Linked DNA regions of Alligator mississippiensis. The protein of the gene in region 1 purifies or fractionates together with the protein of each later gene. This does not show direct contact. Links are inferred from orthologs where the notes say so. Each region holds a gene or a part of one and is shown on either strand. Other genes may lie near its edges. The genes, in order: NEUROG3 and C1QBP.

What was found.
Region 2: the proteins of NEUROG3 (region 1) and C1QBP purify together in Homo sapiens (affinity purification with mass spectrometry; 3 studies listed by BioGRID and IntAct, counting the BioPlex papers as one, with this or other methods). This does not show direct contact. The link is inferred for Alligator mississippiensis from reciprocal best matches to the Homo sapiens genes NEUROG3 and C1QBP.

What each region holds. Positions count from the first base shown.
Region 1 is NC_081829.1:55,902,607-55,905,988, forward strand, and holds NEUROG3 (neurogenin-3), read left to right. Parts: upstream 1-1,102; coding exon 1,103-1,648; 3' UTR 1,649-2,629; downstream 2,630-3,382. UniProt on the Homo sapiens protein: Acts as a transcriptional regulator. Together with NKX2-2, initiates transcriptional activation of NEUROD1. Involved in neurogenesis. Also required for the specification of a common precursor of the 4 pancreatic endocrine cell types.
Region 2 is NC_081837.1:15,046,946-15,050,847, forward strand, and holds the start of C1QBP (complement component 1 Q subcomponent-binding protein, mitochondrial), read left to right. Parts: upstream 1-1,150; 5' UTR 1,151-1,199; coding exon 1,200-1,437; intron 1,438-1,695; coding exon 1,696-1,846; intron 1,847-2,527; coding exon 2,528-2,615; intron 2,616-3,902.

The DNA.
Region 1 (3,382 bases):
CGGCCCCCCAGCCCCGAAGGGCGCGAGGCAGCCTCGACCTCCGGTCCCTGCTGCCGGCCGGGCCCCGAGCACCCCTGCTCCGCCTGCCCGGGCCCCGCGCGGTGCGGCGCAGCAGGGCGAGGCCCGTGGCATCCCCTAGGCCGGGCCCGCCGGGCAGAGCGCCCGGTGCGCGGCCGGGGTCGGGCTCAGCGCTCTCGCGGGGCCGCTCAGTCCAGCCGCCCGCGCTGCGCGCTCCCACGCACCTGCGGTTTGCGGCCCTCACCCCGCCCGGGGACAGGCCCTGCCGAGGGGCCGTGGCGGTGCCCGCTCCCTGCCCCGGGCCGCTGCCGGGTGTCGGCCCCTTCTCGGCCCTGCCCTTGACCGTGCCCCTGCCCTTGACCCTGTCCCTGTCCTTGCCCCTGGCCGCCCTGCGTCTTCGAGCGCCTGCGGGACGCACAAGTGGCCCGCGCTGATGTCCCGTCCCGCCGGGAGGCGCTGGCGCCCAGCCCGTGCCCCTTCACACCCCAGGCTGTGTCCAGTGAGGCGCGGGTGGGGTGGGGGGTGGCGGCCCTCGCCCCTCTTCTCCCTGCCTAGCCCGGGCTACCGCGGAGCCGCCAGGCCCGAGGGAGCGGCCGGCAGGGAGCAAGCGGAGCAGGTGCGCTACCCGTCCCGCCGGGCTCCGTGGCCCCCTGCTCGGTTCGGCTCGGCCCGGGGGGCTGAGGCTCGCCCGGGCCGAGGCGCTGGTGCCTGGGCGAGGAGCAGGGGCCGCCCCGCCCCGCCCCGCCCCGCCGCCGGCCAGCGCCTTTGTTGCGCTCCCAGCTGTGCGGGGCTCGCGTGGCGGCCCCCGGCCTCGCCGCCTCTGATTGGGCGGCGGCGGGCGGGAACGAGCCAGGCACGCTCCGGGATAAAGCGTGGCAGGGGCCACGCGGCGGCGGGGGAGGCCTCATTGTCTCGGCCGCGCATATAGGGGCGCGGGCGGGCGTGTGCCGCCGCCGCGCTCCGGGCAGTCCGAGCCGGGCTCCTCCGCACCAGGCAGCCAGGTAAGACCCGGGCGCCCGCCGCGCTGCCCGGGCCCCGCCGGCCGGGGGGTGCGCAGGGGCTGACGCGGCCGCTTCCCCGCAGGATGTCTCCGCAGCAGCCGCCCGACGGCGCCGCCTCCCCGCCGCCGTCCGCCTGCAGCCCGCCGGGCTCCCCGCCGCGGAGGCCGAGGGGGCGGCGGGGCCGCGGGCGGGCGCGCAGCGAGGCGGCGCTGAGCCGGCAGAAGCGCAGCCGGCGCATGAAGGCCAACGACCGCGAGCGCAACCGCATGCACCACCTCAACTCGGCGCTGGACGCGCTGCGCGGGGTGCTGCCCACGCTGCCCGACGACGCGCGCCTCACCAAGATCGAGACGCTGCGCTTCGCCCACAACTACATCTGGGCGCTGACCGAGACGCTGCGCCTGGCCGACCAGAGCCTGTTGCCTGGCCGCGAGCCGCCGGGCCCGGCCGGCGCCTGCCTGCTGCCCCTGCCCAGCCCCGGCAGCGCCTCGCCCTGCGACTGGGACTCGCTGTGCTCGCCCGACTCGCGGGCCGGCAGCCTCAGCCCCGCCGGCTCCACGGAGGAGGCGCGCGCCTACCCCGCGCCCTGCCTGCGGCACAGCCCCCGCGCCTGCCCGCAGCTCTCCTGAGCCGCCCCCTCTCCTGCCCCTGGGGGCCGCCCACGCTCCAGGCGCCAGCTCTTGCCCCTCACCCGCTTTGCCTTAAACGGAACGGGCCTCGTCCCTTCTCTGTGCACTTTTCAGGCTCCTGCTAGAGGCGTCGACGCGGGGCTGCTTGGGGCACCGACGCTGCTGAGCTCCGGCCCGGCCTGGCTTGCAAGAAGCAGCAGCAGCAGCAGAAGACATGCACCCGGGTGTAAATTATGAGTCGCGTCGCCGCTGTTTGTATTTATTGCCCTGTCTCCCAACGCACATCTCTATTTTGTACACGGCCTGCTGCTGTCATTGTTCCGCGCCCTGGGTGGGCAGGGCAGGGCGGGTGCAGCACGTTTTATAACACCCCCCCCCCCCCCGCACCACCACCAGGAGCCACCCCTGTCGCGGGGGGACGCAGGGGCCCGGCTGAGTGCACCCAGGGGCTCCCCAGGGATGGGCAGGTGTGGTCTCGCTCCGCGGACCCCTGTGTTCGGGGCCCGGCGAGCTCCCGGGGGTGGGGGACATCGCGCCGCAGGAGCTGGCCCGCCGGCGGGGCACGGGCGCCCCGATCGCAGGAGGGACGAAACTCGGCAGCTGCGGCCTCCGGCGGGGCTCCGCGTCTCAGCGCCGCCCCCGGCAGCGGCGTCAGAAACCCGCCGTCGAGCATCTCCGTGCGCCCCGCACCAGCCCCGCGTCGCGCGGCGCACCACCCGGGGGCTGCCAACGAGCGGCCGCAGGGAGGCGGGGGCAGCTCGAGGGGAACGGGCTCCCAGCGGCCTTTCGCCGCTCTCGCTTGTCCGCCGGGGCCTGACAGAGCTGCGGGCTTGCCTCCTCACTGGGGGGTCCCGCGCCTGAGGGAGGGGAAACAGCTTCGAGCGGTGCGCGACTGGGCTGTCGGCGCCGCGATCTGGCACCGTCGGAGCCCTTGGGCCCCCCGCGCCTCAGCATCTTCACTAGCCAGGGGCTAGGCTGGCTCTGCCTCTGAGCCGGGCGGGCAGAGCCCAGGCAGCTTGGGGCGGCCTCTGCCCGGACGAGACTCCTCCTTCGCCTGCCCTGACCCGGGCCCTGCCCTGCCTGGCGCGGCTGGGGGTCCCGGGCCCGCGCCCTGCCCCACTGCTCGCTCCAGCAGCTCCAGTGCCTCCCGGGGAGTTGCGTGTCCCAGGGGAAGATGCACCTGCCCCGCATCTCTGCCCAGCGCCTCCGCCCCGCTGTTCCGCCGGGGCAGCGTCTCTGCTGTAAAGCGGCCCCCTCGGGAAGGACTCTCCCTCCTTTGATAGCGACCGCGTGGCCACGAACTTGCTGGGCCCTCCAGGTGCGTGGACGCACCTGTGCCCTAAGGCACACAGCCTCAGGGACCACATCTGTGACCTAAGGAGCAGCCAAGTGCCCTGAGGCTGGGGTGGTGGGGCTTTCAAATTTGTCTTCAAGTCTCGCAAAATCACAGGATCTGAAGGCAGACCACACCTCCAAGCCACTGGAGCAGGTTACCGCTCCCAGCAATACCCCACGCAGGCAAAGTTATCCCGAGGTAGCTCAATGACCTACGCCCGCCCTCTCATGGGACCGATGCTTAGGCGCCTTCAGATTCAAGTTAGCTGGTTTTTTCTATTATTTTTCAGTAGAAGCCTCCTAGTTCTGTCAGGTGAATTTTAAACTGGAGTAACCGATTGCAATGCAGAGTTTTTTTCCCTTCCTCCAAACTCCAGGGGCTTTGTCTGGGGCTTAGAC
Region 2 (3,902 bases), on another chromosome or scaffold:
CTCCATGTGACAGAGCAGGGGCGGATAAAAATGTAGAAGTTATTTTTGAACAATATCCGTGCGAGTACTTCTACCGGGACCTCTCCGAGAGAGGCAGCTTTTCAATTTCAACAGAAGTCTGTTGGTAGTTTTAGGCCGAGGTGAATTAAAACAGATTAGATTTCGAAAAGGGCGGGAGAGGGACCAGTTTTGTAAACGCAGTGTCACTGTGGAATAAAACGTGCTTAGTTTAATGCGAGTGGTGGTGGTATCTTGCTTTCTAAGTGATGCGGCGTTTAGTCCCCTCTTGCGTTCTTAAACATCCAACTTAAAAGAAAAAAGTGTGTGGCGGGGGTGGCTTACATTTTAATGGGGATCATATTTGCAAACCAGTTTTGACACCGTTAATTAACCGTGGGAACAACAAGCTGCTGCCTGCTGTGCGCGCAGGGGGGATGAGCTGTGCTTCCCATTTAAAACGTCTTTTCTGGGCACGAGCTTTGGCTACGTCTCGCTTGTCCTGGAGCAGCTTTGTTCTGCTCGGTCCGCAAAAACTATGAGCAATCCTTCTGTAAAACCTGGACTTTGTTCCAACTAATCTGCAAATCGCTGGCGGCGAGGGGCAGCGTTGGCGTAAACCGGCGCGCTCCAGGTACGCGGCGTGTCCCGAGCGACCCCGGAGTCGCAGCACGCGTCCGTCTCTTCCCAGGCGCAAAGGGTGACACTTCGTGTTACGGGTGCCTGTCGAAACGTAGGCGCTCGTCTCGCTGACCCTGCCTCTTTCTCCGTATTGTCCACGGCTGGCGAAGGCGCTGAGGGCGCATTTTGGCCGTGGCCGGCTGCACCCCGGGGGCCTCCGGGCAGCGGTGGGAGCGGGGAGTTGCAGAGCTCTGCCCCCGGCGTCGTACAGAAACGTGACGCCTGTCAAATAAAAGCACATGTCGTTGGGGCGGTCTCTCAACGACGTTTGGGGTTATTTAGAAACGACTAGTTGCACAACTGCCCGTTTCCCGTCACGCAGCGCCTGCAGAGCGTCGGCTCGTGCCGGGGTATCTGCGCGCGCAGCTCGAACAGGCGGCCCCACGGGCGGGAGGCGGAAGGGGCGGGGCAGGAAGCGCGCTTCCGGCTGGCGGCATCGGCTTCCGGGGCAGAGGTCAGGCCGGCCGCACTCCCTCTCGCACGTGTCGCTGCCTTTCTTCTCTAGCTTCGCGCCAGACGCCATGCTGCTAGCCCAAGCGCTCCGCTCCGCCGCCGCCGGCGCCCTCCGCTCGCCGCGCGCCCTGCTGCGCCCGGCCGCGCGCCTCCCGCGGGGCCCGCCTGCTGCCGCCGCCGCCGCCGCGCGCCCCTTCACGCGCTCCCTCTGGCTGCTCTGCGGCGAGGCCGGCGGCCCGCGGCCCTCCGCGCTCCTGCGGCCCCCGCCCGGCCTGTCCTTTGGCTGCGGCGGTCTCCACACCGAGGGTGAGCCTCCGGCCTGAGTGACCTTGGCCCTGGGCCTGCACTGCTGCAGGGCAGCGGGTCCCGCCTGGGGCCTTTCCGCACCCTGCTCAGGGCGGGCAGCCTCTGAGTCCTTCACCCCGCCTGGCAGCGCCGGCGAAGGGTGACGCAGAAATCTTCCCCTTCTTTTACCTGGGGGTCGGTGGGAAAGCCAGGGGTGGAGCTCGGGTCCAGGAAGCAAAATGTCTCCTGTCCCAAATGACCTCTTCTGTTCCTCGCAAGGGGACAAAGTGTTTTCCGAGTTCCTGATGGATGAGATCAAACAAGAAAAGAAGATCCAGAAGCACAAATCCCTGCCCGAGATGTCCGGAGGGTGGGAGCTGGAAGTGCAGGGCACCGAGGCCAAACTGCTGCGGAACGTATCTGGCGAGAAGTAAGTGATGCGGATCTGTGCGTTTCATGTTATTTGATGTTAGCAAACTGGAAACAAAACAAAAAAAAAAGCCCTGTATATAAAGCTGGGTGCGCACATGTGCTTAAGAGGCATGCGCATGTTAATGAAGAACTAAGTGCTGCTTCCCAGTGTCCCCCGGGGTTATGTATTTCTTGTAACCTAGTTGCGTTCCCCTCCTCAGCCCCGTCCCTGGTTGAGGCGCTCTGTATTTCCTTTATGGCTTTTGTCACGTTTGTTTCACAACCAAGGAGAAAACAAAAATGGCCAAGGAGAAATGCTAGATGTTTCATACTCATTACTTTTCTTGGAAAAGGGAGCTTGTCACGGAGAATTTTGCCCTGTTTCCTATCCCGTGTATTCCAAAACTTCATGCCACCATTTCACACAAGAAGAAAAACTAGAGAATTCAACCTACGAAACTGAAAATATCCTTGTTAGTCAATATAGGGCACTTACGGAGTTTAAACTTGGTGCAGATGGCTGTATTTTAAAACACATAAACTGGGGAGCAGTGCGCTGTATGAGGTACAGGGGAGATTCAGGGGGATGCTTAATACACTTCAAATCCTGTTCGCATCTTGAGTTCAGCACTTGAAACTTTGAGTAGGGTTACAGTTAATGTGGGTTGTACAACTAACTCTTCCTATTGTGATGTTAAAGGATTTCAGTCACGTTCAACATTAACAACAGCATCCCACCAGTGATTGATGAAGAGCCCCAAGAAGGACAGAAAGCTGATGAACAGGAGGTAAACCTACAGCCTATGTGTTCCCTTTCAGTTAGTACACTGTAGGGTAGAGGGGAAGTCAGGCCATTGCCCAGTTGTGTTTGGGCAGACACTGTTAACTTGGTCTTCAGAACACAAAGGTGCTTAATGCTGGCATAATGCAGATTGTTGTTACTTTTATTTTTTCCCATTACTACAGTAGCAAAAGCCCGGCCTACAGTAGCAAAAGCTTTTGGCCACTTGGCATAATCTCTGCCAGGGCAGGAGGAATTTTTTATAGTTGCAAGTGAAGGTAGTTGATCTTATAGCTGCCTTCCCTTCCTGCTGTAATGAAGGCCAGGTCTGTGCAAGGAGCTCCTTGCTACTGTGCTATAGAGCAAAGAGAGCCTGGTGTGGTGCCCCCACCCTGTCCATGAGTCGTATCAGGGAGAGCTCAGTGCTATGAGCTGCGTTTACGCTACAGCTGTGTACTGGTCTGGCTGTAGTAGTCAGGGATCACGTCTCTTCACATGTCTGGCTGATACCAATGGCACTAAGAACTTGCAGTGCACACAAAAACTTAAATGGCTTGATCCTTGATCTTTTTATAAGGTCACTGACTTCCAACAGTTAGTTACAAGGGAGAGCAGAGTCAGTATATGGTATTGGTAGTTGTTTAAATCACCAGTGTGGTTTGGGGCAACCAACTCGCTAATCCCTGAGCACTTCATAGTAGTTAGGGGTCAGAAGGGACCTGACTAGATCATTTAGTCTGACCCCCCGCCACTGGTAGGAGCACGCACTGGGATCACACCACCCCAGACAGGTGTTCATCCAACCTCTTTTTGAATTTACCCAAGGTAGGAGCGAGGACCACTTCCCTAGGAAGCTGGTTCCAGAACCTAGCCACCCTAACAGTGAAATAGTGCCTCCTAATTTCTAACCTGAACCTATTCTCCAGCAGCTTCTGGCCATTGTTCCTTGTTGCCCCAGGTGCTGCTGGGGGAAATAGGGCCCTTCCTATTTGCTGCTGATCTCCCCTAACGTGTTTGTAGGCAGCCACCAAATCCCCCCTCAGCCTCCCATTTGCTGAGGCTGAACAGGTTCAGGCCCCTCAGCCTCTCCTCATAGGGCCTGCCCTGTTGCCCTCCAACCAAGCAGGTGGCCTTCCTCTGAACTCTCTTGAGGCAGGCCACATCCTTCTTAAAGTGCGGTGCCCAGAACTGGACACAGTACTCCAATTGAGGCCGGACCAATGTCACGTAGAGGGGGAGTATCACCTCTCTGGACTGGTTTGAGATGCATCTTCAGATGCACAACAAGGTGTGG